Drosophila melanogaster: one gene and its partner. The protein of the gene in region 1 interacts with the protein of each later gene in a pairwise test. Each region holds a gene or a part of one and is shown in the gene's direction. Other genes may lie near its edges.

Region 1 (16,143 bases):
TAATCTAGCGTGTATTTTATTGTGCATATCTACGTTTGTGTGTATGCGGACCTTTATTTGATATACTAAGCATACATGTGCACGCGATCGGGCAACCTAAGTCCGAAGTCCAGCAAAGTAGTAGCTGATTCTCCCTCAAATATTCAAACCAATAAAACTTGGCGACATTGCTAAATGTGTGTGAGGAAATAGCAAAGCAGTCGATTACACACAAGTACACTTGTATCTATGTATCATAGATTTCCTGCTCGTATCGATTCAGGGTGATCGGTTGACCACTCCTGGTAACAAAATTTAATGCATGAAAGGGTAATGAAACGGTTTATGATTATTATGCAATAGAGCAAAATTTAAGGTTTACAATAAATAAATAAAGATTGAGCTGTAGAAGGAAAGTCTTTGCGCTTAGAATAGGTACATATGTAAGTGTGTATCCCACATAAAATACAGAAATACGAAGAACGCAAGGCGAGAATAGGTCGGCTGTTTAAGCACCAAAAGCGGCAGAGTGGTTATCAAGTCGCAATTATTTCTGATGATAATACAGGGCTGAATATAAACATTTTCGAACTCGTTTCGCCGTATTCTCGTGCGCTGGCGCAAGGTCAGATTCAGTGTCGGAATCAGCAGCTACTTGACGTGAATGCAAATAATCAGGCCCTGCGAAACCTACTTGTAGCCAGACAAAATGTTGAGCAGCGTACTCTTGCCAGCACCCGATGGTCCCATTATGGCGGTGAGTTCTCCAGACCGGAGGCGTCCACTGACGCCCTTCAGAATGGTCTTGGCATCTGTAATAAAAACACACAAAATTAGTGTTTGGGCCAATCTCTTGTTGGGACTAAAAATAGTTCGCGTTTTGATATGTCTTACGTCAATATCTAAGTGCCGCCGCAGCTATCAAGAAAGATATTGATTGCATTGGCTTTTGGACGAGCAAGTGTAGAGCCGATAGGTAAACAAAATCTGCAAAGTCTGACAATCGAAACACATAGCACGGTCAATGGCCCCATCACGTTTTTCTTCGTCCACCTCCATATATAGTATGACTTATGCTATTATCGACAGAATTCCAACAGTTGTCAAACAACCGCGTCCATTACTCAAATTTTATTAAACATCCAACATCAACAACGGACAACTAATAAACAAAGCGGCTAAAATTCGTAAAAAGCCAATTGCACTTTAGTAACGCTTGTTTAAAAATAGTTTGACTTATTCTGACGTATATTCGCAGATGCTGCCTAAATGGAACTGTTCAGATGCGGAAGTGCCTTATAATCATGGCATACCTTTAAAGTTTAAACCAATAGTTTTGTACAGCAAGCCATCTGCTCTACGGAAAATGCTAATATACCCGTTTTCATGGGGGCACGCTCTTCGACTGCCGGCTCTTAATCAAAAGATGTATTTACTATTGAATCGACTTTGGACACAAAAGCGAGCTATGACTGGTTATAGAGCTTCTGTAAAGTGACTATTACGAAATAATTCATTTTATGTTTGTCATAACTCCGATTAGTAAAGTACCGTGACCCGCTCAGAAGTGAAACTCAAATTTATTAAGCTCATGCAGGGACTGTAAATGTTTTATTCGGCGACTTACTTAATACGTAGACTTTAAAAGCTGGTAATGAATTCCAGCTGCCAGGCAGCGACTAGCAAGTCGTAACCACTAGGTACGCAATGTCTCTCATTGAACTTACTTGCTTGCCAATTGATGTAATAGCACCAAAAGTGGGGTCACGCTTGAAAAACTATAGTCCAGCGCTAAGGCCAAATCGTAGCTTTGATGTTTATGACCGGATTGGACAACAAGTGGAACCATTCAGGGCTCCTAAGAAAAGGTTACGCCAAACTTGCAACAAGGGCACAGAAAGTCGCTTTCAGAATTTATTTATATCTGTTTTAATATAGCAGCCGAAAACGTTAGCAGGCACTTACTTCATTAATTGTGTTTACTTTAAGTGGCATAGTTAGCCAAAATCAGCGCAATTTCCATCTGTTGCCTCACTTCCATCTTATATTGTATACATTATTTTGGCACATAACTTAGCACACCCCAGAAGGCGGCGTGCCATCTGCAAATCTTTCGGCTAGGTGGGGCACGCTCACAGGGCAGTGTAAATAAATCTGTGTATATTCGCTTATTCTGAACGACTTAATTGAGTCGGATGGCCGACCTTTGAGGTGTGCAAAGTTCAGGCTGCTGCCTTCTCCAATTAGTTTTGCACTTGGCTGGCCTTGGGCTTAAAAACAGGCTTTGACAGTCCCTCAATCTTAGACGGGATTCACGGACTATGTCCGCCGTGAGGCCAGCCATCCAATGCGACAACGAGGGGAGTGGGTTTCATGAATGAGCTTTTATAAATATAAGAATAAAGCAGTTGTGCACGTTCGCATACCAAACTAATGGAATATTATCGCTCGGCCATCATTACTTATTCTGAACGGCCCCACCGGGGCACTGCATATTACCACAAATGTGTTTTCACCACCACACCCGACTAAAGCTAGCTATTGGCAGTGACTAAATCCTAATCGCTCTGCTAACACAGAAAGCACATACCGCCGCCATCAGTCTTGACTTCCTCAACTATAACATACCCGCTACTCAATTTCATAATCCTTTTTTTTTTGGCGGATCAGGGGCAGTCTACGAGGAAAGGGTATAAAAACAATACCTCTCCCTCTGGCACGTCATCACAAATTGTTTTCCATAAAAGCAGTAGATCCAAAAAAAAACCCCATTGTGCTCCACCCATGCTTTAAAGTAGATACACTGCTACGTGAGAAAAGTGCGAGTACATGGCTCCTCGCCTTTTAGATGCTATGGCATCGAACCAAGTTGTTGACTGTCCCAATAGCGAAATAGCTTGTGTGGGCAGTTACTCCGCGGCTACTGGCTGATGATTTTGATGTATTTAGCAGTGCTTATCGCGGTGAAACCTAGTGAACTTTGGCCAGAGCCGCCCTTGTGAAACTGGGAAATGAATTTGACGAAGAGACGACGGGTTACATATCTACTCAGCCACAACCCGAAGTTCTCCGTTGCTCACAGTCTGAGTGTTGATACTGCGTTACAGCTGCTAAAAGAACAAAGAAACCAGAAACCAACACAATGCGAAGCGCAGCTAAAGCAAACAAGTAAAACCCGCTAAAGCCAGGGAAGTGCGTAATAGCGACAGAGTACTCCGGAGAACTAGCTCAATAACACATGTGCGGAGTACTACTAGCCAGGACCGGAAACAAAAGCTCTAGGGTGAGGTGAGAGCAGGCGCGGGAGGTTCAAGATCCCGCTCTCGTGCTGCCGAGGAGTGCAGCTTGATATAGAGAGAGGTACTAGACAGTGGAAGTACTTACTGCTCCGGTTCCCCTCCTTGACGCGGTACGTCAGGTTGTGAAAGGCCAGGTCCACCGCTGGTCGCTTGGGGAGGTGCTGGAGCGTCTTTGGCTGGGCGGGTACTATTTGAGCTTTCAACTGACCCGCTCCGGCTGTGCCCAGTCTGTTGTCGTTCAACAGATTTGCATTATCGTTCTTAGTCATCTTGTCAATCAATCAACCAGGGGTTAAAAAGCAAAATGCAACCACTGTGTTGTGTGTGTATTCTTTGTAAACTTTAGCACTGACAGCAATACTGCAGCCCCTGCTGCCCTTCGTTCCCGTTTGGTTTTTCGTTCGCGTTCTCGATTCGATTCCACCACCGTCTGGTCCGGTGAGAGAAATTTTCCACCCGTCTGCTCGAAACGGTACTGCCGCTTCTCAAATATTAGGACTTCACTCGCTCGCGCCGCGATCGCAACTGAAATAAGCAATTGCGGCAGTGGAACAAAGGCAGAAATTTAGGCAACCGCTGACAGAGAGTGCCATCGCATACTCTCACAGCCCCAATGCTTTACGTCTGTGGTTAGAGTGGGACGACAATAGAAGCACTACTTCTGGTGGGGATTCTAGTGCGATTGAGAGGCACTGCGGGTTGGCTCTCTCTCAAAAGCCAGCGCATTCTTCTACTAAGTCTTGAATGAATTTGGGAAAAGCCTATAATCTGTGAATATTCCTCGATCGGCGGACCCATGTATCTCGAAATAAAATACCACTAACTAATTTCGAGGAAAGTCTTTACCTTGAGGAAGGTCTTTGATTCCCAGTCTTGTACTTTGATTGGTTTATCAGCCTTTTATAGTAGTTAGTCCTGGAAGCTAAGGTTCTGGCCATTGGTTTATTCAATCTAAGTTAAAAGTTCACGGCCTCGCTCATGACTCATGAGTTATTGGAGGGGCTTATCTATGGGTGTCAATCTACAGCTGATAGGAGTTTTCAATGAGCCGATAAGGGGTTGTACTTTGTCATTTCGTGTTTTACGTAAAAATAAGTTAATCGGTGCCGTAATTCGTTTAAAGGAGCTCTAGTACGCTTTTTAATGGTTTGCTTACGCGACATTTTACCTACATTTTGCTTTTCCCTACATTTAATGTGGCATGAGGTCATTTGTGGCTATGGCGTGGGACGACCTTACAACTTTGCCCCAGAAACAGTTTTGTGGTATATCTGAACGCAACAGTTAGATGTAGACATTGCTGTAAGGCTCCTTGTTGGCATGCTTTTACGATGCTCCGGTCTATATTTTGCCCAATCTAATTGGGATTTACGGATTGCACTGGGAGTGCTAATAACGTTTAGTTAAACCGGTTATTGTATATATTGGGGCAAGTAAAAACGTAATGAATTGACCAACAAAAGGTATTTTCCCAGTACAAACCGCAATTTGAGATATTATTCCTAGTTCGGTTTCTGGGTTCAAATCAGCATACAGCACTAAAGTTATGCAGTCGCCTTAAGATATGAAAGAATAATGTATTTCCACTGGCAATTTCCCGATGACTATTGGCTTGGAAATTTTTTAAAGCTTGTGGCTAATCAAGTCACGGAGATGTCAACAATTGGCAGGAATTGCAAACCGGTTGTTCTACACTTGTTGATTTCGTTTTATAAACGGGGGGTGTGGTATATTAGATGTGCCAACTAAATGTGATGCATTTTGCTTGAGACCCGCCTGATTCGGCTACTTACAGATTATTATTTTCCAAAAACTGCTTCCAACTATACTGGTTCATGGTGCCGTAACTCAACAGCTACTGAAACCATCGCTTTGAAGCAACAAGTTGCCTTCGCGAAAGCTAAGTCGCAGGCAATAACGAATAGGCAGTCGAAACCCAAACCGAATATAAGAATTAGCGATTTTGTATTTGGTTGTTGCACATCGGGTGTAAAAATATGTACACTCTGCTGGAGGGAAACTTTCGTAGTTTCTTGCGAAAACTGAAGCCGGCCAACTAGTGGAAACGATGCCACGTAACTGGAAAAGCGTAGACGGCTATATGGGAATTACTCGGGTCTATGGTGAAAAGTGGCACTCACACATTGGCACATAAAAGTTTCCTCTGTTTTCCTTGTTTTCTTTGTTATGCCCACCTGAAGCTCTCCCAATATGAGCCGTCCAAAAAAGCTTGCTTTCCCGCCAGAAACAGAGTTTTAGCTTTATTTTAACATTAATCCTATCTGAAATATACTCATCCGTTCTTCAGTACTTTCCTCTAAGTTACGAGGCAACCAACAAATAATTGGAAGACATATCTGTGGTCTCGGCTTTTGTGCGACAACATGCCATTATGTAGGAGGGAGTGGGCCAATATGCGTGGCTTGATGAACGACGGCCTAGGACTAAGTATAATCTGTAACAAATAAATATTGAATATCCTCCACACAGGATATTTAGATCAGAATTTACATAGCATTTAAATTTCAACGTTTTACATACTCAGCCTAAAAGTTGGCTACACTGTGTACTTATACTGCTATTTTAGTTATAGTTTTAGTTAGATATATTTTTAATATTCAGAACGTCGTATGCGAGACCCAAGCCAGGAATAGGAACATTTAGTACCGAATTTACATATTATAAACAAATCATTATTGCTTCATTTAAGGCTCTATTAATGCGGTCCACCACAGAGTTTATCAAATGCCAAACACGAATAGACACAGCTGATACGGTGCTCCTTGCATTCGCTATATTTAATTGTATATAGTGAACTTTGTACCAGGCGTGTATTCAAAACAATCAGCCAAAGAGCAAAATGGTGGAGGTTTTTACGAAGAGATTACGAGAAATGAGAGAGTGTTGTAATAAGTAGTACTGCTGAAATGCATCTGCATACTGCGTAACCTATCATAGTTTCTGAAATGAATTTATCAAAAATGTAGAACTTAATTTGTGGGTTCTAAAGTGGGCCATGCACATAAATGGTGCAGGTGTTCTACGATGAGAATTACTAAAAACTTTTGTTTTTCATTTGGCGCTAATGCAAGCTACAAGTGCTCGAAATGCATAAATGAGCTTATAGCGTGTGCTCAGTAACGGGGCTTTTGGCTACCCGACTAGCCTCGAAACATAAACATTATGGGTCGCATTGCAGGTCTCTCTGGCTAGTGGCTGCGGAGCGGGTGCTCATATACCGCCAGTTTTGAATGCTCTCTGGGAGGCCTTTGTCTGTGCGTCGGCGTCGCAAACGAGATAAAGAAAAACCCGAGGCGCGCGACGAAACAACGAAAAAAGTGAATGCTGTCGCGCTAACTGTGCTCACAAGACTTCCAAACATCGAATTGGTCGGGTGTCCCCAACAGTCGCTCCGCAGCCCCTGACAGAAACAGAAACGAAAACCGAAAGTACCGCAATCCAAAATTACCAAAAGACCTGTCCAACCAGCGACTGTTTAACCAATCATATAACTGTAAAGTGGAAAAACGAGCAGAGCACGGTAAGTTGTGCGGAAGACTGCGTCTTCACTGGAAAAGTACCCCTTTTTTAACTACCTCGGAAAATCAAGTGCAAGGAAAATAATTACATAAAAATTCATGAGAAAAGCAGAGTGAGCCAGCATGCCACCAGCCCTTGCCCTTCCTGCGCACGTCCTCACATTCGCCAGCAATACATAACTAACCGTGTCCTTTTGTCCTTCTCGCCGACTCCAATCCAAGAACCAAGATGGCACTACGCGTGGCAGGACTCTTCCTGAAGAAGGAGCTGGTGGCTCCCGCAACACAGCAGCTGCGTCTGCTGCGTACTGGCAATACCACCCGCTCCCAGTTCTTGGCCAACTCCCCCAACACGGCTCTAGACAAGAGCATTCTGCAGAGGTACCGCAACCTGGAAACGCCGGCCAATCGAGTGCAGGCTACTTACTTATGGATCGACGGTACCGGCGAGAACATTCGCCTCAAGGATCGCGTTTTGGACAAAGTACCCAGCTCCGTGGAGGACTTGCCGGATTGGCAGTACGACGGCAGTTCCACCTACCAGGCCCATGGCGAGAACTCGGACACCACGCTCAAGCCACGCGCCATATATCGCGATCCCTTTAAGCCGGGAAAGAACGACGTAATTGTCCTGTGCGACACCTACAGCGCCGACGGCAAGCCGACGGCGTCCAACAAGCGTGCCGCGTTCCAGGCAGCCATTGACCTAATTAGCGATCAGGAGCCCTGGTTCGGCATTGAGCAAGAATACACTTTATTAGACGTGGACGGACGTCCCTTCGGCTGGCCGGAGAACGGTTTCCCAGCCCCACAAGGTCCTTACTACTGCGGCGTGGGAGCTGACCGTGTGTACGCTCGCGATCTTGTGGAGGCCCACGTCGTGGCCTGCCTGTATGCTGGGATCGACTTCGCCGGCACCAATGCCGAGGTAATGCCCGCGCAGTGGGAGTTCCAAATTGGTCCAGCCGGGATTAAGGCATGTGACGATTTATGGGTGTCGCGATATATTTTGCAGCGCATAGCTGAGGAGTATGGCGTAGTGGTCACCTTTGACCCCAAACCGATGGAGGGTCAGTGGAACGGAGCCGGCGCGCATACCAACTTTTCCACAAAGGAGATGCGTGCTGATGGCGGAATCAAGGCCATCGAGGAAGCTATCGAGAAGCTGAGCAAGCGCCACGAGCGGCACATCAAGGCATACGACCCCAAGGAAGGCAAAGACAATGAACGGCGCCTCGTGGGACGTCTTGAGACTTCTAGCATCGATAAGTTTTCTTGGGGCGTGGCCAACCGGGCCGTAAGTGTGCGAGTGCCGCGTGGCGTTGCGACGGCCGGCAAAGGATACCTCGAAGACCGGCGGCCAAGCTCCAACTGTGATCCCTACGCCGTGTGCAACGCCATTGTTCGCACCTGCCTGCTCAACGAGTAGGCTGTGAGCGGTGCAACAGATGTTTAATTTTTTGTACATTATGTTTTATGGAACTGTGAAGCGTATCCGATCATTTGGTTATATTTACATTGAACTGAAGCAAAATTTAGTTTGCTTGTGCAAAAAAGACAGGAGACCGAGGCACGAAAAGCGTGCGCTTAGAATTTAAGAACGTGGGTGGGTGGCAAGAAGAACTAAGCTAAAGCGAAATTTCCTTAAAGCGATGGGGCCTCATGAATACTTTGCCATATATCTCACAAACTACGTATATCTATCATTGCTTTAATCTAAATAATAAAAAACATTGTACTCTACGTTAATTTTTTGTACCTTTTAGATCAAACAAACATTTTGGGATCCGACGTTGAATTCGGTCAACGCCATTTTTTGCCCTTAACTTCTTGAACGCACTTTTTTAATAACTCCTAAGAGTTTCTAAATGTAAATTTAAGAAGGAAATATCACTGAAATCGGACGATATGCATATTAATCATTCATATCCATGAGCACGAATACACATATATGTGAAATATGTTTATAAAAACCAATTGTTGATTAGAAGTTGTTAAAAATAAAATACTAAGAAATTAATTTATGTATATATATTGGTACATATGTATCTCACTTTACGGATCTGTCGCTTCACTTTGTTCGGTAGCATTTTACATCATTTTACTATATGCTGTTATAATATAAATGTCTAAATACTAGCACTAGCAAAATTAAAAATTCCATTGAGATACATAAATACATTTTGAGTAAAAGCAGAACTGCGTACAAAGCAAAACACATTACTACAGACTATTTTATTTTCTCTTTTCTGGCGAGCTTTTGAACAACTGTTGTTGCAATGACTGTGAAAATCAAAGTTTTAAAATATAGAACAGCTTGCTTGTAAATAAGAGTGACATGAGGGCACAAAAACTAGCTAAGGCAAGACCTTGTTTTTAATGGAAAGTTTTCCACCACAAACAGCTGCCTGACACTGAAAGTATTCAAAGACTAAATCTTAGGGTTTCCGTTCAGAATATGTGTGTTTTTCGCTCAACTGACACACACCCTCGTATATATGTACATATATGTATGTTTGTATGCTTGGATGAAAGATATGGCTGCGAAGGAGACAATGCTTCCATATACTCGTATATTCCCAATGGCAATATACTGCGTCCAGCTGATAGGGCAGGGGTACTGCACTCTGGGATGGCAGGCAATTGCATTTCCCTGCAATCTTATATTGATTGAGTATAACCGCGAACTCAATCGCTTCAAAGGGGGGCTATTAAGTGTGGTTATTATACTTAAACTTACAAAATAAATCTTAAATTTGAATTAAATTAAAATAGCAGATACTGCAGTACTACTAAACTGATATTTAATATACATACATATGTATGTATCTAGTATGTCTTCGAGCATCTAAAATTGAGTGTGCTTTTTTTACTGCACTTTGCATGTCCGTTCTCGCAATTGTTGACATTCTGAGGTGCAGTTAGCGGTGTTTGTTTGGCTCTGCTGGGAGCGGATTACGGATTACGGGGTATGCAAATGTAATAAGGTTAAGAGGGAGAGATAAGGCCATCCAGTTTATACAAAACAGTGTTAAATACACAGAGATAGTTCGACCAAGCCAGCCAGCCGAAAGAGGCACGGAATCATCCGTAGTCAGACCATCTATAGCTTCGTTAACTCATCTTTAAATGTTCGAACGCATTCCTGTGCCCAATTCCAATTCGACTATCTAATATACCCGTTTTCCATTGCAGCATTTGTGGGCACAATGTAGATACTATAATATATTTTAAAATCACATAAACAATCGAATCAAGGCACTAGCCTGTTATGGCCACAGAACTCAATAGTTCCGCACCGTCGCCCAAAAACCAGATTATTAATTAATTGAAGCAGGTTCATTGGTATGCATGAAACACGTTCAAAGATGTCAACATCATACAATGCAGGCCTGAGGAGATCCAGTTATGCTGCCTGAGACCAGGCGATTTGCATAAAACGGAATGATAAGCTGGACACCTGATTTCGAAACTATTGATAACAAAATGATATTGATATATCACTGAATCAAGTGATCAAAATAATATATTTTTGCTCTAGATAAATGTAGGCAACGATCGACTGGATAGAAATATAAGCTTCACTTACTCTCCTCACCTTCCTATAAAATCTTCAGTTCGTCAGTTCACTCGGTTAAAGTCCAAGCAAACTGATAAGACAGTAAGGCCACGAAGTTAATCTTCCGGCTGCAAAAGCCTGTCCAGCGTTTACCATTATCTTTTGTACCGTGCCTTTTACTTCTGACTCGGTCAGAAAAATACCTCCGCCTGGGTAGGGTTATCAAAGGGCAATAAATCATACTGGCTGCGGTTGCGAAAATAAAATAATGTTGAACCATAATTGATCAAATCAATTCCATATAAAGAGATGAAATAATTTTACCCAGACCCCTGCGAATTTTATTTAAATTACCTTAAAGTTGGGCACGATTGTGGAGCGTGATTCCTGAACGGCCTGTCACAGTAAACTCATCTACTGATCGACTCTTGTCTGGCCAATTGCAAATTACCATTTTCAGAGCCTTTAACTGGGTCAAGACATTCGCTCGCCTTGCAATGGGAGTGGTCGGAAAAAGCACTGATAACAGCGGATTTACGGACTCAATGCAGTACGTAATGTGACAAGCGGCAATAAACGGGTAACAAAACAGAGCGAATCTGTTGTGGAGCTGCTGGTGAAATAATCGTTGCTGGGGGTGCTGTTTATTTTTATGTGATGTTTCTTTTGGAGCGCACCAACTGCTTGTTGAGATTATGTTTTATAGCGCTACTTTCAGTCCGCGCAATCGTAAATGATTGCTCGATCAAAATATGTGGTCGCACTCTGGAGAATTATAAAACCTGTCAGGTACAAGCAGATACATAATATATATAATATAATCCTATAATTCTATGTCCTGTGACCGATGTCCAGCAATTAATCGGTCACGTAGCGTCATTTTGGAATGAAAAGAAAAAGAAAAGATTTGCGGCCGCAAATAGTTTACTACGCAACCGATTTTTCCATTTTATCTATGGCGGGTGTCGATACGGTGGGGTTCTTGCGCAAACACAGGCAGCCAACAAGTGCTGTCTTTTATCTGGCCTATTTATCTAATTTCCCACTGCTCACGCCATTCGCAATGTTGTGGTCGTGATGAGCGCCTATATTTAATTTGCAGAGCATATAGATGTCTGGAACTGAATCACCCAACAGCAGGGTCGGACTGCGTGTTCTGTCTTAGTTTTCCAAAGAGCCCAAAGATCTTCCTCCCCCCATTTTATGCCGCTTTTTTTTTTTAGAACACCTCCACTTTACTTTCTCTGCCACCACACGCGATTCCCAATATTTGCGTCATGGGCCCACACGCGTCTACCAAGTGATCTGCGATCTGTTCCGTGCGTTTTGGCGCATCGCATCAGACAAAGTTCAATCCCCCGATTCTTGGGGTAATCACCGTAGCCAAACCGATGACGGGCATATGGTCAGGCAAAGGTCGTCTTCTGTGGCACACATTCATGCGCATTACTTTAATTTCATTTTATTGTTAATTGGTTTGTGTCAGAACGGCGATTATGTTTCTAAGTTATCAGTAAAGCGTCCCGCTTTTAGTTGATAATGAGATTAGGATCCATTAGCAATATTCAGTCTGAATGGATGAGAGTCGCAGAGATAATATATGTATTAAAAAAAACTTTGTTTTGAGAAAGTCGTTTGATAAGAGCTTTTCGATAAGCCGGCAGAATTTTACTGGGCGTTGTTTACCCAGACCTCATTGGACTTAAATGATAAAATTAACTGTACATATGTATGTGTTTTCTTTGCATATTATCCAGACAATTTAAGAGAACGTATTTTCTGTTTACATAAAAATATATAACATTACGGGGCAACTGCTTGTTTCATGCCGTGCAGGCAATTCGAGTTCGTTCAACCGATGTCCATCTCCCTACACCCATTTTATTGGTCATTAGCGAGTCCGAAATTACATATTTGGGAAGACCTAGTAAAACCTTGTCAACACAAATTCCCCATTTAGGCCGGGCCTGTTTTAACAGATAATTAACAATAATTAATTTGGAAAACTTAATTTAAGGAAAAAGTTATTACAAGTAATTTCCCTTTAACAATTGCATAACAATTTTGAAAGGGATGTAAAGTGCAATGCAATAATTTAATATTTTAATAATATCATAAGCACACATTTTAGTTGTAATATATGTGTTACATTATTATTTATGTTACATTTATTACAACAGTGTAGTTCCTACTTTGTAAGTTTATTAAACTTATGAAGCAGATATTTAATTGAATTCCAATAATTAACCCAAAGAGATTTAACTATTATTGCACGTATTCTTAGACTCCAAAAAATTACAAAATGCAAAAGGAAAAAGCTATATAGATATATAAATATATATATATATATATATGCATCTCTTGTTTGTAACGTACATTATGTTATAGCTGATGACTTCGGTGAACAGTGCAAAGGCTGCGCCTTTTACTTTTCCATCTGTAAAAAAAACTTGTGCCTGAAGTTAATATACCTTCTGCAAGGGTAAATATAAATGCCCGTTAGTATGCCACAAAACAAACACCTGTTGGTAAAGTATACTACACTGATATGTAGAATTCTCGTATTTTTTTGATCACTTTAACAGTTTGTGGAAATTATATTCAGAGGTATAAAGTGTAAAGTATATATATTATTGATCAACAGCTGAGTCGATGTCCGTCTGTACGTTTCTGCATAAAATATTCTCATAGTGCTATCTTCCAGAAGATATTCCAAATGTCTTCTCTCTATTGCAGGTTGAACACAAGCCGTATCAGACTACTTTATCTGATATATAGCTGCCATAGAAATAGTAGGAAAAATAATAAATTTGTATTATTACTGCAAAACGTTGAATTTTTTCTTGTTCGATTTACTTGTGCTGATTTATTTCGGTCGATCTTTATTCATTGGATCCACAGTACTTTTTCACAACCTTTCCAGTCATGAAGTAGGTGGACAGCGCCCTTAGTCTGCGGCCACGTGAAAGTTCTTCAAACAAGCCGCCACTCACGGAGAACGTTTGTTTCGGTTGGTAGAGAAGGCTCAGAAGTGGGTTTTTGGGGCTTACGCGCATGTTGATCATGACGTATGTGCCTTTGACCAGAGGACAGCTCAGCGTGTAGTTACTTTGCTTGAGCATGTTGTCCTTGGCTGGCTTAAAAAGCGGTACGGAATTGAAGACATTCTGCAGGTCGCACAGTTTGGTGGAGGCGTTGTATATGGTGCGAGGCTTACCCCGACCGGAGTGCTGAAGTATGAGGATGCGAGACACCGGTGAGGCAATCTCCTCGTTAATGGTGGTTACTGAGCCGATGCCAGTCTGATTCGAGAAGGTCATGTTCACAACAAACCGAGGTCGGTCATCCGTCCAATTGGCATACGTGAAGGTCACATAATAACAGCTCTATTCGGTTATTCAATATTAGTTTGAGACATCCGGAGACCTTTCTTGAATACAGACCTCCTTGCTCCTGATCTCACTGAGCTTCAGCAGAACCACACAAGTCGAGATGCTGAGAATCGTTACCCAGGTAGCGCTCATGATTCCCAAAACTGACTACTACTGTATTCACGTTTATTTTCTAAACCAGCTGAGATAATAATAAAATAATTAGGGTTCCCCATCAAATTGCCATTAGTCAATTACAAATCTCGTTTTCGTATCAATTTATTGCCCTAGTACAATATGTCAAACTTTTCGGCCAAGTTCAGAATTTGGCTTAATTTGCGGCTAATACGCTCCGATCCCGTATTCTTCAGCACGTCCGTAAGCTTGGGGCGTTCCTCAGCCTCTGAATCGCCGATGAGCGCGCTGTCAGCCAATATAAAGCGCGTCATAAAGATTGCGTGGGGAACTTGTATGTACGCCACCCTCTTCACTTCCAGCCGGAACCTGCGAAAATCCGACCTATTCGTACTCAGTTATATATTGATCATTTATCTTACTCTTTAAAAGTGTGAACCTCCAATTTAGCTCCCACACGTCGCAGACAACGCTCAAAAGCCTCATAGTAGGCCTCTAACATGTGTTCGAACTCTACCTCCAAGATAGCCGTATCAACGCTTGATAGCAAAAACGAGATTATGTCATGCACCACTGAATCGTACTGTGCCGTCTGAAAGTCGATAATTTTCAGCTCGACGGGTGTTCCAGTGGGCCCTAAAGATTTCAAAGAATAGTACTTGTTTCTTATATTTTAGAAATTTTGTTATGCTAACAATTCCAAAGAAATAATTAGTTTTCCGCTCTTTTTATGTAAAATCGTATTATTGAATGTTATTACGTGCTAGGGCGATCATTTGTGCTAGTGATACTAACCGTAACGAAACATTATATTATTTATCCAGAAGTCACAGTGTATAATGCTGGTAAAAGGCCCATCGGGTCTATCTGGGGCGGCTGCTAAGAATTCAAAAAACTGGTCCGACAACTCTTTCATTCGGGCTACAAGTCTGGAGTCGTTGTTGGTGGCTCGACGAATGTCCTCCAGAGTCTCTGCCTTCATTACCGACTTCCACTCGGGCGCTTCAGCATGCCAATCGAACTTTTTAAAGAACGGACGGACCTGTTCCCGGAACACCTCTGGTCTGAGGATCCGCAGAGCTAGAGACAGGGCGTGGAACTCGGCCATATATTTAAGTGCTAGCAACGTGTGGGCCAGATCGAAAGCTTTTAGCCTCTGGCCGGAGACGTAGCCACTGCTACGCAAATTTTCCAGCACCAACACGGCATTTTGATCTACCTTTGATGAGTTGGATTCGAGGGATTCGCGACAGCCATAGAAGCGAGGGAATCCTTTAAATTGGCTCTCGTCAGGGACGCCAGCTTCATCTTGAAGGGTGGCCAGAGCAGGGGCCAAAATCTTGTAAACAGCGTTCTCAGTGAGGCATGTCTGCTCAGGCTGGAAAAACTGCCAGTACTTGGGGTCGATCGGAGGCACTTTAGCCACCAGCTGCTCTTCAAACGACTCACCATTGGATTTCTGCAGCCGGGCATGAATTGCCAGGAGAACGCTTCCGTAGTTATCGCCCGGTTTCGTCAGACTGCTTGTGTGATAATTAAGGAGGCGGGACCCTGAAACGTGGGGTTCAACCACTTCACTAAGAGCTCGAATTTCGGGCAGCTTGTCCACACCCATGTTCTTCAGCTTGCGAAAGATTGTGCTCCAACTGAAGACTATAATCTTCCGGAAAGACTAAAATGAATTCTTTCAGTGGGCACACAAACAAGGCGCTAATTCGATGCCTGATAACAAACACGTGTAAATAACGAGAATGTGATAAAGGTGACCAGCTTTATGGTGAAATTTTTATTTCGTGACTGGCAAAAATAGATCAGTAAAATATATTAAACTTTTTCCCTAGTCGCAAGATAGCCTCAAATTTTGTCACAATAGTTTTTGCACCCGTGTTCTTTGTGAGCACCGAGAAATCCACGTCTTTATAGTCTTTAGGAATCGTACTGTTATCAGCCAGTATAACCTTCATCATAAAGATCGCGTGAGGCAACTGCACGTGTGCAGTTTGCTGTACCTCTTCGAGAAACCTGCAACAAATTCGATGAAAAAAGTCATCCCATTGGCTGCGGAAACTCGTCTTACAATTCGTATGTGTAGTTGCTGGTGTCCACATTCACGCTGCGCAAGGTCTGAATGAAGGCGTTGTAATAAATGGTCAGGAAATTGTAGAAATTGTCCTCGAGAACATTTACGTCCACACTTGAGAACAGCACAAAGATGATATCATGCACCAATGATCCGTACTGCGCGATTTGAAAGTCAACAA
Region 2 (17,081 bases), on another chromosome or scaffold:
AACCAGGCCGGTTTCATTGTCAAGTGCAAGCAGCGGCGGCTGCTCCTGCTCAACGATAAGGTCATTTGCGTGTCGGTGGCGCCCAAGCAGTCGCACGATTTCGGGGCCACCGAGAAACTCACCTTCAAGTGGATGTTTCCAGTCAACGATGTCGAGATTGTGGACAACAGCACGTCGGCCACGCTCTCGAGGATTCTTACGGCGGGTAAGGATTGTCATACAAGAGATCTGTGAAGCTTAAATATACTCATATATATTTAATTTCTAGGTCTCAACCGCGGCGGCAGCTTGAAGTCCAATGGCAGCAGTGGTGCCAACGGCAGCCCGTATGCGAATAGTACTCTTCCTGGACATGGAGGTGGCGTGTCGGGCTTCTCCGGCTTCGGGGATCCGCACAGCTCGCCAGCCGCACAGCTGACAAACGGGGCGGACAATTTGTGCAGCGAGATGAGCACGCTGATGTATGACTACGAGGTGATTTCTCGCATTCAGGATCTAGTTTCCAGTTTGAAGGGCAGCTACAAGGAGCTAAACGCGAATACCACGCGCAACGTGCTCAATCTTATCCAAGGCTCCATCCAGCGCAAGGACGAGGAGATGGCCTGGGTGGACTCTTGCTGCCTGCAGCTCATTGGACGACACAAGTCCGGCAAGGAGGAAACCTTCACATTCCAGACGCAGACGCCTGCGGTGAAGAAGGAGTGGATCACAGAGTTGCGTCTGGCTCAGCTGGCCCTCGATCCGAACAATTCGCCAGCCTGGGAACGTGGTGGCTCCCATCCTCAGCCCGCCCATCATCACCCACATCATCATCCGCTGCAGCATCCGCATGCGGGAGCTGGCGATCCCCGCCAGACGCAGGAGCAACTGCAGCTGCAGGAGGCCGTACAGCAGAAGCAGTCGCGTAAAATGCCGCTCTTTGTCAAGGCGATGCCTGTCTACAAATCACAGCATCAAACCGAGGTAAGTTTCTTATCATAATCCTATATTTCCTAACTACAATGTTATCTGTTTACCTTCCAGGTGCGCTGTGGATGTTACTACAGCATCGCCAATGACACCAAACAGAGCGGAAACGCGCGACGCCGGCACAAGCAGCTCAATTACCTGTGGATGTGCAGCAGCGATGGCACCTCCTCGCACATCACCGTTTTAGCCCAACACCCTCAGCAGGCGGGCAATCTTCGCGAGGCGGGTGCCTTTGACCTTTTTGAGACCCAGGTCTCTGCGTTGGAGTTCGTCAAGGGACTGGATCAGCTGAAGTCGCGAGATGAGCCGGCCAGTCTGCTGGGCGATCTGGTTTGGCTGGGCACGGATAGCCGCAAGATTCTGATCTACTCGGCACGGAATCCCGAGCAGGAGGAGCAGCTGGGAAGCTATTCGGTACCGGGAGCAGTTCAGCGAATCCTTTATCACTTCGATGCGGTTTATGTGGCTCTTTCGGGAGCCACGGTGCTCATTTTCCGCAGAGGAAACGATGGCGTTTGGCAGTTGCGAGACCCGCAGACCATCCGTCTCGGTGACACCGATCTGGTGGTGCCCAGCCTTTTGCCGATCAACATGTGCATCTACGCTTCGTGCGGCAACCGAGTGTACGTTATGAACGCCCTGAACGGCGAGATCCAGCGCAGCTTTGAAGTGCAGCACGGGGCCACTCAGCAGGTGAATCTAATGGCCCACTCCGGCATCGGTTTGTGGATCTCGCTGAAAAACTCGACAATGTTGTGCCTGTACCACACGGAGACGTTTAAGCATCTGCAGGACATCAACATAGCATCCAGTGTACTGCGACACGATGGCAAAAAGGAGCAGCCGCTGAACAATAGCTCGGTGTATGTGACCGCCCTGATGGCCTGCAAGGGTTTGCTGTGGGTGGGCACCAATGTGGGTATTGCGGTGACCATTCCACTGCCCCGTCTGGAGGGAGTGCCCATCATCAGCGGTGGAATCAACATGTCCTGTCACGCGCACTTTGGACCCATCACCTTTTTGTTGCCACTGATTCCAAAGGTTTATCCCGCCTACAAGCCACCGACCGTGGGTGCAGCTCCATTGGTACCCAGCATGGGAGATGACCTCCAGCTGCCGGCCATTGATGCGGATCCAAAGATCCAGGAGTTGGACGACGGGGCCGTGGTGTTGCGTCGTGACCTTGCTAAGGAAGAGATGTCGTCCAGTAATCCCGGAGCAGATTCAACTGCCTCATCACCGCGCAGCTCCAAACTGGACAAGCAGAATTCGCTGGACCAGAGTTTTACTGCAAAAATACGCGCTTCGCTGGCAAATTCGCCGGCTTTCCACCGCAAGCGTTTCCGCGATGATCCGAATAGAATGTCCAAAACTTTACCCCGTGGCCTGGGAGCCGCGGCAGCCGGCAGCGGAGCAGGAGGAGCAAGTGCAGCAGGATCGGGAACAGCCAGTGGTAACACTTCGCAGCATGGCGAGCACGGTATCTGCGACGTTTACGGCCTGTATGGCAAGCTGATATTCGTGAAGGAGGACTACGATGCGGAGGAGGGCAATCAGGGCAACCTAATGGACATGATGTATGAGGGTATGAGACGCTCTGATCCAGAATTGGCAGCTATACCCGGCAAGGTGTGCACCCTGGATAGACGTTTGCGCATGAAGGCATCGCGACCAAGGTCGTTGGACCTCTCAAACTGGTCGGTGGACTCCAAGTCCTCCAGTCTGTATACATCGTCGGGCAGCGAAGAGAGCATGGGCATCCGGCACTTTGGCGGACGTTCTGTGTCCCGCAACAGCAGCAGTGCCAGCCACAAGACATCCGGCACAGGCAGTGATCTGGGCAACATATCAGAGAACGGCCTCATGACCACGGCGGACATCCATCACCATCAGCAGCAGCAACAGCAGCTGAATAGCTCCGCCAAGCCAGATGAGATGAGCCGACTCGGCGCAGGGAACTCGGGACTGGACAAGCCAGCCGCCGCGGTGGCCACTTTAAAGCGAAAACAGAAGCAGAACTCCAAGCAGCAGCAGCAACAGAACGCCGACGGACCAAGGACAGTGATCACCCTGATGGGCGGACGCGGCTACTGGCGCCAGATGTGGTACAACGGGGCGGGTGGTTCGCCCAGCCATAAGAACAGCAGCTCCGGCGGCGGCGGAGGCAGTGGCTCCGGATTCAGTGGCCAAACAATGCAGTCGGGTAATCCCAGCTGCTCACCGCTGACGGCCAACTCCAATGACGCCCACATCGTTGTCTGGGAGAAGAAGTTATAATCGCAGGAGCTGGTGTGCTGCTGCACCCTTCAGCAGCATCCCCACCAGCACCATCCACCGCTAACCGAGCTGTGGCGCCGCGTGGGCGAGCAGCATCAGCAGCACCAGCAGCTGCAGCAGGCGCAGCGTCGTGGCCGTGGACGGGTCCGGTTCCGGGGATCCTTTATTCAGCGGGATCGCAGTGCCGGCAGCGATGGAGGAAGCGGTTACGGATCAGGCGGATTGTCAGGTGCTGGCGGATCGGGGGGCATGTTGGGTGCCAGTCTGAAGCGACTGACCAAGCTAAAGCGCGGCGGCAGCCTCAAGGAGTTCTAGATTCGCGTGTACATTGTTTTTCGAAATTTAGTTTGTAGCACATAGACTTACGTTTAGGCTCAAAAACCGGCGGCCACCTAAATCACTTGATTTCTTTTGCGCTTGTCGTAAGCCGGAATATCGAATATATTTATTAGCGCCCTGTTTACGATTCCAATCCGAATCGGAGAACCATTTAGCCCCAAAGCTCCAGTGTTTGCTAAACAAAATATTTTCAAATGTACAGATCTTTGGATAAACTGTACTGATTTTATTTTTCCCATTTCAAAACTATCTTCTTGTTGTAGAACCGTATATACATATGGTTTATAAATTTCATCTATTCGCTAAACTTTAATGTTGTTGTAATATTTTGCAAAACCATCATTTTCATGGAGGTTTCCGTGTAGGAAAACGCTTTCGTTTTGATCATTTCCAATAATTTTGGTATCGAAGTTGAACATCGTTAATTTCTTAGTTAATCACATATAACTGCACTTTTTCAATATGAATGCTTAAAATCTGCTAGCTTTCGGGAAAAGCTGAGTTTGAATCAGATTTGGAACCTGTAGTGGGCACAGGGGTGTATATATAGCGAATGTTTCTGAAGAAACCTAGTGTTTAGTCAAGTGTTTTCTCAAACTTGAGCAGCCAACTATCTCTTTTTGTTCTCGATTCTTGCGTTAGAATGTGAAACTTAGCCCTAGGGAAATGTTTTTTTTTTTTCGTATGTAGTTCATAACTGAATATCCAAATATACAAGTTTTTTTTTTTCGTTAGTTCTGTAAGCATACTATGTTACATAGGATATAAACTAGATGATAAGCGATGAAGCACACACACAAGAGAGCGGCCAAGCCAACAAGCTAGGGGGAAATGATGTTGTCTGTACAATAAGAGATAAAGCAAAACAATAATGCATTGTTTAGTTATCCGGGAAACTGTCGAAGGAGCAGGACTTGTGGATGGAGTGCGACATGGTAATGCAAATGGTTATTTGGCCCATTCTACGACCATGTGCAGCACTTCTTATCGGTTTTTCTCAAGCTTTTCGAAGCGAAAACTCTGAGGCAGCTGGCAGCACTTTCCTTATGTATGTATTATAACGAAATTAATATTTAACGTACTTCCCCTTTATGGATAAACCCCATTTGTAGTACTCTAATGCCTGTATTTGTGAACATTTACAACAAGCAAACAAGAAATAAAAAACAAGTGTTTTTTTGTCTGTCAAGTAAACTTAAATATACAAAGGTAATGAAGCGAACAAGGAATATCTTATATACACACAAAAACATACTTATATACGATTTACATTTATGAAATATACATGTGCGTGTGTGCAACATGAATATTTAGCTAAAAATAATAAAAAAAAAAAAACAAAATAACAGAATGTTTTATCGAAGATATTTTTTGTGAACGATATCTTTTGGATACACATATAGAAGTCAGGCATAATGCAATTATGTAACTTTTTATATCATTGTGCATATTTACACACACACACACACACACATACGCGTTAACGCACTCATCGACATATATGAAAATAATATATTTACCTATATATCACACATATTTACGGGTTCCCCGGGAAACCCAAATGTACATGTACTTGGATGGCATATTATTCGGCATCGTCTGTGAATTATCTATCCACAGCGAGCCAGTTGCTTTGTCGGTGTTATACAACAAAAAAAAATTAAAACAAGAGCATTGTATGTATTCAAGAACAAAGAAAATGTATTAAAATATAAAAAAAATATATATATTATGCGTTTTTATTTGGTCTTTGAAGTCGTTAGGTTCGATTTCATTATTACATATTTGGCGATTGTTTGAAAAGCGCGGCTATTGCTTTAAAAATATGCAGCATAATTTTGGGGCGTTCCTGTAATAAAGTTTGACAGTCACTGTTAAATCTTTGGTTGACCATACAGTTTTACAGCCTCAAAAACGGAAGACCAACAATGTAAATTTAATTATGCTGTTTCATGATACTGACGAATTACTATCAAGACTTTATTATTAATTCAAAAGATAACCAATAAAAAAATATAAAAAAAATAAATATAAATACAATATTTTCGAATGACTTTTTTATAATCGTTTAAATTAACGATCATTCTAACTACTCAATTGATTTCCAAAACTACTTAATTATGTTTATATTTTCTGATTTTTATAAGTGGAAGACTTTGGAATGCAAATTTTAAAACACGTCCATTGAGATATGAAATTTCGTATTTAGGCATTCATTTCGTTGTTGTGGGGAAGAAAGTCTTGTTTTATTCTGAGAATTCCTTAACTGGACCAAGCTCACCCAAAATTTACAATCGTTTATTGACCTCTTTAAAATAATATTTTTTTATATAATATTATATTTGACTGCTAATCGATGGGAAAATTTTTTATCGAATTTAACAACATATGGCATTTGATATTAGGACAACTATTTTTATTGTTGTGTTTTTATTGTCACAAAATTTAGTGGTATTTTTCATAAATAATTTTTTCACAACATTTTATTGCCAAAAATCCTAAATATTTTATTTTGCTCATAGCCCTATTAGAACTAATAACTTGCAATTTAAGAATGGTATGTATTTAAACTTGATACAATTAGCAATTTATTTAAGCAATAATTTAAGCCGGAAGCTCACTTTCAGCTTGTTGATTTTTTATGCACAGTTAAGCTTTAGTTGCATCTATGCACTTTAAATAACCTCAAATGACAATGCACATTGAAGGGCCAAAAAGCGAAAGTTTGTAATGCATTTATAATATTGTAGCTAAAAAGGAAATACCTTACCAAGTATTGGATGCATTTAAAATGGCAGTGCGGTGTTCCCTAGAGATTGCGTAAGTTTACGCTAAAGTTGAAGCCCAAATTCAAACCCTGCGTTGCAAAAGAGCTTAAAGTTTGTCAATTTAGCTTATCTTGTCGTTGTGTCGAAAGCTTGAAGGATGTTCTGAGCCAGGATACCAAGCAATTGGAATCCGCTGAAAGCTCCTACCCGTCAATTGACCCACATATTTCATTTCAGTTATATATTTGAGTCTGGTCGTTAGTTTTGCGTAAGGGCCAGAGAAAAAACTCGCCGAGAAAGACTCGCAGGCGTGCCAAATTGATGCTATCAGTAATGAATAATAATGCCCAATAAGCGAGTCGGCTGATAATGACGAGATGGCCCATTACATAAACGAAAGCACATTGCACCGCAGCTCCCAGCCAGTCCAGCTTATTAGCGTTAATTGTTGGCGACACTTTTATTTCCACTTCCATTTTCAATTTCATTTTCACATCTATTTCCATTTTGCTTTATTCCGCCGCCCGCCTTTGAATCGAAATAATGATTCGAACTTGGCAAGTGTCTGTCCCCCTTAACGCTTAACGAGATTGCAGTTCGGCTGACTCTCCTCCGCTGGCCTTTGGTCATCGGCCATTGGCCATTGGCCATCGGACACCGGCCACCGGCTGATAAATGAGTCTGGGCCAGACATTATGCAATATTGGGGCCCTAAGGCGATTGGGACCGGTACCCGAAATAGCCACCGAAATACGCTGCCATTCAAATGCAGTGATGCCCCAATAGTTTGAAATATCTCTTTCATAAATATCTCTTTTATAAACATTAATGATTTGTTAATATAATATCATAGCTTATGCCAAAAATCATAGAAATATTTTGTTGTTCAGATGCAATGCAAACAAAGAGGTTTTCAAATTTGTTAATTTATCTTCTTGCAACGTATTTCACTTCTTGAAAACAGATACAATTTTCCGTGTAGTTCGTTATTGTTGTTAAAAGAAAGGACTTTGCAGTGCCAGAGATTGTTATAAAAGGGTTAAAAAAGCCCAATTTGCTGAAATAGAACCATCAAATGGGAATCGCAACAATCGAATACAAAATGAAATGAAATGAAACAGGACGTGTTGCCCAAAGGACTGGTTTATTTGCTTGTTGATGCATTCGAAGAATGCCATTTTGGGGAAAAGGATGAACCAGGGAAGAGAATAAACTAGTGACATCCACAACGGATGCGGCAATCGGATCGATAAATCAGGCTTGTTTATGGCAACAGCAGCGGCCATAACCGTAACTCCCGCCGCCGGCAATGGTGCGGTGCCCAGTTCGAAAAACGAGTGGAGTGGAGTCGAGTCGAGTGGAGGGTTTCGGTTTGTCCATGGGGCCATGACCTGCCTCAAGTGCTTTGCGTAACAACAACAACACCACGCAGCAGCAGCAGCAGCAACAACAAATGCGGCAGGGAGTGTGGAATTTTGTTGTTTTTGGCTTTCCCAGCCAGTCACGATCGCCGCAATTTTCTTGTCACTGTCACCCGAAATACGACAAAAAAACAAAAACCGCTCGTCGCACGCAACAAAGCAAAGCAGCAACAGCAGCAACATCGGCTTAAAAGACAAATAAACAAAGCGGCTGCCACAGTAAAAACTGCAACTGCACGAACAGCAGCAGTAACAGTAACAGAAACAGTAACAACAATAGTAAAGAGGAATACAAAAAAAAAAAAAAAATGGTTGCAGCAGCAACAACAGAAATTGGCGATTCGCCGCTGCTGATAAGAACTAAATCGTCTGAGATCAATGCGAATATGGAATACCCTAATCAGGGAGTTAGGATATGTTTAAACAACTATGGATTTTTAAATAAAAATAATAATATTTTTTAAAAAACAAACCATGCTGCCAAAAAAATTCAAGTCGCAAAGTGAAATAAATGCAAATCATAAGAAAAGTTTTAAATTAAACCAAATCACAAATAAAATAGGATCATAAACTTAATAATACTAAGAATATATATTATTGGGTTATATACATAATTATTATAAAGAATTTATATATTATATATTTTATATTATAATTATATATTATTTAAATATCTTGTTTGTTAAATATATATAATACTTTATTTAATTTCAACTGAATATACATTTGATTATGATACTCAATATTTGTTAGAGTAGAATTATAAGGATTTTACTATTTGAAGTTCTTAAGCATATCGGAATGTACAAAGCTATTCACTGGACTGTGCTACCCTTTTTCGAGTAGTGTACAAATGGTTTGCCCGCAAAAACAGCAAACAGCCGCAACGAGCGACAATTTAACGAGGCTGCCGCGCTGCCGTTGGATATTGCTGCTGCTGCGGCTGCTGTTGCTGTTGCTGCTGCGTGGTGCTGCTGTTGCTGCGGTGTCCCCCCAGCAGCAACATTTTGGCCTCTGCCGCGCTCGCCGTCGCAGTCGCTGCCGTCGACGTCGACGTCCACTTATTCGGGCGGCGGTTTCCATTTCATTTTTAAGCTAACGCTCGTCGCGTTCAGCGTTTTAATATTTAATTGTCGTCGATCGCGAGCGGTTGTCATTGCTCCACTGGAATAATAGTTGAATTGCCATTGCCATTGGATTGCGATTGCCACGGCTGTACCGTTACCGTTAATCGTGAAGTGATCCGGGAATTCGCCAAGAGAATACCACACACAATACCATACCTGAAACGCGTTGCAGCACCCTTTTTTGTTCAGTGTTCATCAGTTTTTTGTTCAGTGTGCAGTTTGACATCCACAGTGGCCATGATTCCCTGGATTTGCCTAAGCGCGGCCATTGTGCTCATCCTGTGCCCCCTTCACACATCCTCGCGCAGCTACAGCAACGGTCTGATCTTCTACGAACTGAAGACCCACCGACCCTACCTACCGCCCACGGTCAGTGTGTCCAGGGGCCGAAATCTGGCCAGCGTCAAGTACTCCGAAAAGGGGTCCATCTGGTCCACCTTTGGCCAGCCCTGCGAGTGCAGCGGACCCACCTGCGGATGTTGCGCCGGTCTCAAGGTCGATCAGTACCGATTCGATCAGAAAGGTGAGAAAGCCCATGCTTCGTTAGCTATTAATGGGGAATAGAATATTGCAATACTTTAAATGTTTAGTAGATTATTGATTAGGAGATTAGTAATATGAAACAGTGTGACATTCGAGACATTATGAAAATTACAACCTTAGTTATAATTTCAAATTCAGAATGTTAAAAATATTTCTCATTTCTTTAGAAAGAAATGGTTTTGTATTGATGTATATTATTATGGTTTGAAACCAACAAGAACATTGATTACGAATAACATGTATTATATCTACGCGAGAAAGGATATGCATTTAGTAGATTTTTTGCACAGTGCACTTGTTATTTATTTGGTGAAGAAAACCATTAATGGGTTTTCATTTTCAGCATGCTATTTAGCCTTAATATCTTAATATACACTAATGGGCACTAGGTTAGTAATCGCCGTAGGATCAATCCGTCGGCCATATGCTTATGCATAAATTGGGATCTTTGCCGTCACTTAGCCTGGTCGGAATCGTGGCTCCTGGCCTGCGGGTGGTGGCCACACATATTTGGCTGCGATTTCGGCTGGATTCCAGGCCGATTTCCTTGGCCAAGAAACCGATCTTGGCCGCGGGTTGGCGGCGCATGCCGGAGACTACAATGCGATCGGTGGTTTGGCTTGGTTTCCATTTCGCTCCGCTTCGCTTCGTGACATGCCAGCATTTGCCAATCAAAATGCCACAAATTGTTGGCGCTTCCAGCGGTGGCCACCCCCTCATCGCCTCATCCACCATCCACCATTCAGCACCCAGCACCCACCATTTGCCTGGGATTCGTCGACAGTTTGCCACCCGCCACTTTCATTCATTGAATCGAATCGTTTCATTGTTGTGCCTATCTGTAATTTTGACTCAACGTTTTCTTTCCATTTTGCCTCTGTTTGCAGTGTGCGCCAACGTGAGCTTCGTGCCGCATCTGGAGGAGGCCCAACTGGAGGTCTTTCTTAATGGCAGGCCCTCCTCGAAATACGGAATCTCGGTGCGCAATCCGGCGCCCTTCTGCATTCCCGTCATGATGGGTGTACCGATGGCCATGTGCGTCCAAATGACCGACGTCACAGTGGTTGGGAACAACCTAAACATGTGCATGGACTTTGTGGTTCGGATGGCCACCACCGATCTCTTCGAGATGCATTTCCAGTGCATGCGAATGGGTCTGGATGGTCTGCAGTATGTGGACAAGAATGGCAAGCCCGTACTGCCGATGGGAGATGGTCAGAGCGACGATCCGGAGGAGTACGAGTACGCCGAGCTGGAGGATCAACCGGAAGAGTATCCTTATCAAGAGGATGTCAAGGAGGAGGCTCCATCCCAGGGCTATCAACCAGATAACAATCAGCAGCAGAAGAATACAACACTGACCACTGATCAGGTTAAAGAGGATGAGATGGAGAAGAATCAATCAATGGGCTATCAACCTCTCATCATAAATAATCAAGCACAGAAGATTGAGCCTCAATTAAATCTAGAAGAATTAATCTACCAACCTCAAAAGAATCAAACTCTAAGCGAGCCAGCTAAACAGGATCAGGTAGATAAGGAGGAGGATACACAAAATGAAGAATCAGGTTATCAAACACTAGGTCAAATTAAGGTTGAAGACCAAAAAGAAGAAAAGCCTGCAGAAAAGCAGCCAGAGATTCAACAGCCTTCAGAAAATACACTGGATGAAGATGAACCGATGGGCTATCAACCCCCGATGGCGATGGTTCCCCAAAAAGTTCCAGAAGAACAGCCTCTAGCTGAGGATCTTCAAGAAGAGGAGGAGAAGACTTTAGAGAGCGAGGGAGATCACCAGGAGGACGAAGAACTTGAAGATGTGGAGCCCCTGCCAATCGAAAGTGAAATGCTAATGGCCAGCGATCAGGCAGAAGAAGCACCTTTCGAAGAAGAGGCCGAAGAAATGCCAGCTGAAGACGCAAAAGAGACGGCAGCAGAGGCGGCGGAGAAAGAGAAAGAGACGGGGACGGAGTCTGAGCAAGAGACACCTGACAATGACAATGGTTATGGCGAGAGTGGCCTGAGGCCAAGTCAGGTAATTGAAACAATTACCAATTCAATAAAAGCCACTGAAGCGCCCACAACAACAACAACAACAGCCACAATAACGAAAATACCAACAACAACGACAAAAATACCGACAACAGCTACGACATTTAACAAGCCAAACATTGTTATTGATGGCACAAACAATGGGGAAAAGACAGTAGAAGCAGAGGGTGAGAAGACAGTAGAAGAGCCAGAGAAAGAGGGCGAGACATCTGAAGAAGGGGAGGCAGAAGACGACGAAGAAGACTCGACAACAGTGGCTGTTGAAATGGAAAATGATAGTGATAATGAGATAAACGTGGACGATGATGATGAGGTGGAGAAAAAAAACCGGGTGAAGGAACCCCCAAGCCAGGTGAAGAAGGAGGAGAAGAAACAGGAAGAGGGAGCGGAAGAAAAGTCCGAAGAGGGCGTGCAGAAAGAGGAGATAGAGCCGGAGAAAGAGGTGAAGGCAAGTCATGAAGAAAAGGTCAATCCAAATGACACAGCCGCTGAAGAAGATGAAGATAACGAAGAAGAAGAAGATGGGGAGGATGAAGAAGGAGAGGAAGATGAAGACGACGAGGAGGAAGAAGATGAGGAGGACGATGAAAAGGAAGAAGGCGAGGTAGACGCTGCTGAAGAATCCGCTGAAGCAGCAAAGCCCGAAGAAAGCGCTGTGAAAATTGATGAAAATGGCAATGGCTATGAAAATGCCTATGCAAATGCGAATGAAAATGCAAGTGGAAATGCATATGGAAATGCAAATGCGACGCCGGCAGCGAAGTCGTTGTCCCGACGTCGCCGTCTGCGCACCCGCCGCCTGCCGCGCCCCCTGAGGAAACACCATTAGGCCCCACTCCTTAGCTTAATTTATTGTAATTCGTAATTGTTAATGAATTGTTAATGCTAAACGTTGAAGCCTGTTAATTAATACGTATTTATTGTATTTATTGAAACCAACTCAAAGCCAAACTCAAGCGAAATAAACGTTAATTGTAATTTAATCACTGAGATTCCAAGTTAACAACAGGTATTTTTCGAGGCTTGCCTGGTTGAAATTTAAGCCACAACTCCTGGTATTTTAATATCTGTATTCGGTGGTTAAGCTGCCCTGAAGCCAAATGCAAAATCGAAAGCTGCTAATAATAGTTTTTTCACTGATCTCTACATTATTCCCATCATTTTGGCTTTGCTCCACCAGTTAAACTTACACTTTTGTTCACTGGTTTCACTTAGTATCTTGCCAAATTCCAGTTGCGTTTGCATGAAATTAGCCGTACAAAATTCAACATGTCATGGACGAGTGGCCTGTACAAGTCCTTGCTCCTTCGGAGCCAGCAATCGCTGGTGCGTCCGGATCTCGCCCTCCTGGACATCCAGATATCGAAGCGGGCCATTGAAACGATGTTCGGTCATCGAAGGGAATTGAGTTTCAATCATTCACATACCGCCGACATCATTGCCAAGAAGTGCGAAGAGCTTTTCAATGCCAACGAATTTGAGAACGCCCTAACCACGCTTTATACGGACGGACGTCCCTTTGGCGGACAGTTTGCCCACGGGCGGTTCGAGATGATCAAGCAAAGGGTGAGGGTCATTGTTAATATCTCACTGTATTTTGTTAATAGATTGCTTAAAAGAAAATAGCTTTTGAAATATCACCTTCCATTAGAGCCTCGCCGTCTTCGAAGACACCTTGGGCGAATCCCTGCGTCCCTTTATGCATCAGCACAGGGACGTCCTGGAGCAAATCAACCGACGCCAGAAGGAGCTGGCCGCCCATGTGTCCCGCCCACTTTGGAAGAAGCTGCGCGACCAACAGCAGTGCGACGTCCAGAGTATCATTATCAAGGAGCGGCCGCAGTTGACCTTACTGGAAAAGGCCCGCCGGCGGGCGAGTGAGAGTCTGTACAACCACAACTACTTGGGCCGCAGCGCCGTCGATATCGCGCTGCTGCGTCAACTGCGCAGCGACCGCAACTTCCTCGATCCCCTGAGGCTTGCCACCACGCCCCCAATGCGCAAGCTGACCAGAAGGCAGTTCACGATTGTGCGACGGCTTATGGTGAGTCCAATTCAGGGGAAAACACCACTTGGCAATTGAACTTTTTCAGGGAAAACCATCTCTGAGTCGAGAACAAAGTTTAAAGAGGGAATACTCTAAATATAATATAAATTGATTAACAGTTGCAGTTAAACAATTTGCAAACATGTCATCTATAAACATGTTTAGTAAGATTAAATGAACTTTTAAGAGAATCCTAGACTATATACTTACTTGCTTTCTAATTTTACTAAACATATTACTTTCGTGTAAATCAAGAGCTTTACTAGCATTTCCCACCACTTCTCATGAATTCACTTAGAAAATGCTTCAAGCCCGAAATCCGTTGTACAACCGGCGGTACGTGCAACAACGGCACGGTCCGATTGCGGACCAGGAGCGGCGTCGGTGGCAGGAGATGCACCTGTTCCATGCGCAGTACCAGACGCGACGCGACTGCATGCGGATGCTGCACGAGGTGCACAAGCGGCGCCGGGAGGGCGATGTGGAGAAGCTGTCCGATTACGTGGAGAACATAATGTCGGGATTCATAGAGTATAAAACCCATCGCACGCTGCCCTGGAAGTTTGAGTTCATCAACGAAGTCTACAATATCCTGGCACTGGCCTATTGCGACAAGTGCGCGGTGCCAGCCAATGTCGACTTCCTGCAGGCCCAGAATCGACCCATCTTATACCTACTGCGGACGGAGAAGCTGCACGACATGAGCGTACAGTTCGGGGGTCCCAACATCTATGTGGAGATCGAGAAGGAGGATGAGCGGCACAGCCGAATTAGGTGAGTGTAAGGGAAGCTGTATCCAAGCTTTTCGAATGTGCTCTTCAAAAACATACATTTTATTTTTTTTTATATATATATTTCAAATTTTCAGCCAGAAGCTAGAGCAACTGGAGAATCGGCTGCGTCACTCCCGCTTTGCGATCGAGCGATCCTATTTGTTGTTTGAGATCGCGCGCTGTCACTTCCAGGAGTCGCGTTTCGACAAGTGCCTCGTGGTGGCCCGCAAGGCCTTTAACGGTGGGTTACATGCCACTTAACACCTTGTGGCGCCTCCATTAACGCCCACCTTCTGCCCATTAACCCCCAGAGGCCCGCAGTTGCAATTGTCTGATCTGGCGATTCAACAGCATCTTCCTGGGCTGCCAGGTGCATGCCGTGCTCAATCGCTTCGAGAGGCTAAAGGAATCGCTGGCGAAGGCGAGTCAGTTGGCCAGCGAACTGCAGGCGCCCAAGCTGGTGGCCTATATAGCCATCTGCATCAACGTTAATAACTACGATCTGGCATTACAGCGGATCCGGCAGTCGGATGGGAACAAGCGAAAGTCCCGGAAACGAAGTCCCGTCAGCACCATCACATCGAATAGCTCGCAGGGATCAATGAGTAGCACATAGTCTAGTTATTTTATTTGCTCGACCAGTTGCTCTTAGCTCTACATTTCACTTCAACCTGATGGAATATAAAGCTAAGAGCAACAAGTTTAGAGTAATTTAGGCGCAAGTTTTTTTTTATCATTCAATATGATGATACTCTTTTTTACGAATAAATGTTGAGCAATGGTTTTAAGTCCAGTAACGATAATTTTCGAGAGAAATGCATTTCTATGATAATTTTTTCTCAATTTAGATATTTATAGATAACAAAAGCTAAAATAAAGCTAAAAACTGGTTAAATGCGAATTCTCCCACGCCAGCACTTGGAAACAAAAGTGTTGGATTTTCACAGCATTTAGCGTTGGCCCCAAATGTTGCAATGGCTAAATTAGTAAGCGAAGCGCGGGAAAAAAGAGGTAGCAAAAAATAGCCGAAAGAAAGAAAGACAATGAAAGGGGGGCCATTAAGGCCGTGAAAAACAATAACCCCCCATAATCGGGCAATATTATATAACACTTAAATGCCAGCAGCTGAAATTATTTAATTATGTTGCCTTCTTCGTCTGCCTTCCACGGCGGCGATTATACGACAATTATTACAATATTTATTTATAATTTTTAATTGCTTTTATTTTTCACATCGCTCGCGAATGCCTTTTGTTGCGGTAGTTTTTTGACTCAATTTTTTTTTTCTTGTACCTGTTTTTTGTGTAAAACTTTGCATAAGCAACTAAGCAGGGGCTGGGTTTTCAGGGGGGGGCAGCGGCTATTACTCTTCATTTGTATGCTAGCGGGAGTGTGGGTGTCCGCTTTTTTTTCATTATTTCGGTTCGCTTTTTTGCGGAAAGAAAGTTAGCTGACAAAAAAAAAAAAAAAAAAAAAAAAACTGAGCTGGACATGGGGCAGCCGCCAATTAAATGTTTTGCTTTTGCCGCTTTATCGTTTTTGGCAATAGCGCAACAAGCCATGCGAAGTGTCGTCGAAATGCGACCGAAAACAATAAATAAGCACGAAACAAGCAAAGTCGAGCAAAAAGCGAGCCAACAGCTGCATTTCAATTGAATTTCCAGGCAGTGGGTCCAATATTGTGGCTTCCATGGGGGAGAAATTGCAGCTATTAGTGGCAATCTTGTACGAAAAGTTCGATACAAGTGGTGGAATTTGAAAATTTCATCAAAGTTGCTTAACTGCGACAAGTGGTGGAGTTGCTTGTATTAACTAATATCTACATCTTAACAAAAAAATAAAACTATAAAACTATTATCCAATGCTCTATCAATTTTTCAATCATTTCAATTTGGTAAAAGTTTGTGCGCAAACCTCTTTGAAAAAATATAATTTAAATTAGTTAAAAACTAATGACAAAAGTTGTGTAACTTTACAATTACTGTTAATTACCTAATTTTCCATGCTCTTCCTAATTCCGTATACTTTCTTTGTACTGCCAGCAGCGAGCCAGTTGAGCTGCACTTGTTGCTATGTGACTTGTGACCTGCCGCCACCTCCAGCCAATTAGCCAGTACTCATACGCCCTGTTGCATGCATAAACAGCACTCCAAATCAAAGCCGAGGTTCGGGCCAAACGGACGCCAGAGGAGCAACGGGAAGGAACAATTTTCTGCGGCTTAAGCTCACACTAAAATCCACTGCAAAATAACGGAAGCGAGTTCTCCTGTTTTTACAACATTTTAAAACATAAAATTAAGCCTGAGACTAAATCCACAGTGAATTATAGTAATAGTATTGAATTATAGTATGAACATTCGGTGTTTAAATTGTTAATGCAAAATAAGTATGTTGTAAAAAAAAAGTAAGGAACATAAGTTACATCCAAATATGTCACTGATTTAAATTTTCTTAGGTGTCTATTTTGCCAGTGTATGTACATAAAAAACTCATATGCACAGGTGTGGCAAGCTTGTGCAGGTGCAAATTGAGTTCACCTGAACGTTGACTTTGTGTCAAATGATATCACACGGAGATGTAAGAAGTCACTCAACGGCAGGCGAGGGTGAAGGACCACAAGGACACTGCCGCCTGACCGCCAAATACGGCCGGACACTAGGGTAATTAGCCGGACTTTCCCTGGACAGAGTGGCGGTCAGGTGTCGACTTTATCCAAAAGACAGGACTCAAGTCGACGCCTCGAAACGGTGGTGGACGCAAAATTG

The links.
Region 2: the proteins of Gs1 (region 1) and CG8568 interact in a two-hybrid assay, tested with the Drosophila melanogaster proteins (one large-scale study listed by BioGRID).

What each region holds. Positions count from the first base shown.
Region 1 is NT_033779.5:125,437-141,579, forward strand, and holds Gs1 (glutamine synthetase 1), read left to right. Parts: upstream 1-6,640; 5' UTR 6,641-7,046; coding exon 7,047-8,246; 3' UTR 8,247-9,036; downstream 9,037-16,143. Other genes in the region: CG3164 (uncharacterized protein), read right to left, coding at 674-791, 3,364-3,506, 5,072-5,115; ovm (oven mitt), read right to left, coding at 13,259-13,762, 13,820-13,900; CG31975 (uncharacterized protein), read right to left, coding at 14,035-14,251, 14,305-14,518, 14,678-15,497; CG31974 (uncharacterized protein), read right to left, coding at 15,694-15,904, 15,960-16,143.
Region 2 is NC_004354.4:17,444,386-17,461,466, reverse strand, and holds CG8568 (uncharacterized protein), read left to right. Parts: upstream 1-8,923; 5' UTR 8,924-9,138; coding exon 9,139-9,424; intron 9,425-10,331; coding exon 10,332-12,325; 3' UTR 12,326-12,477; downstream 12,478-17,081. Other genes in the region: CG43658 (uncharacterized protein), read left to right, coding at 1-205, 269-963, 1,024-3,246; p-cup (presidents-cup), read left to right, coding at 12,766-13,062, 13,148-13,540, 13,842-14,317, 14,412-14,557, 14,628-14,932.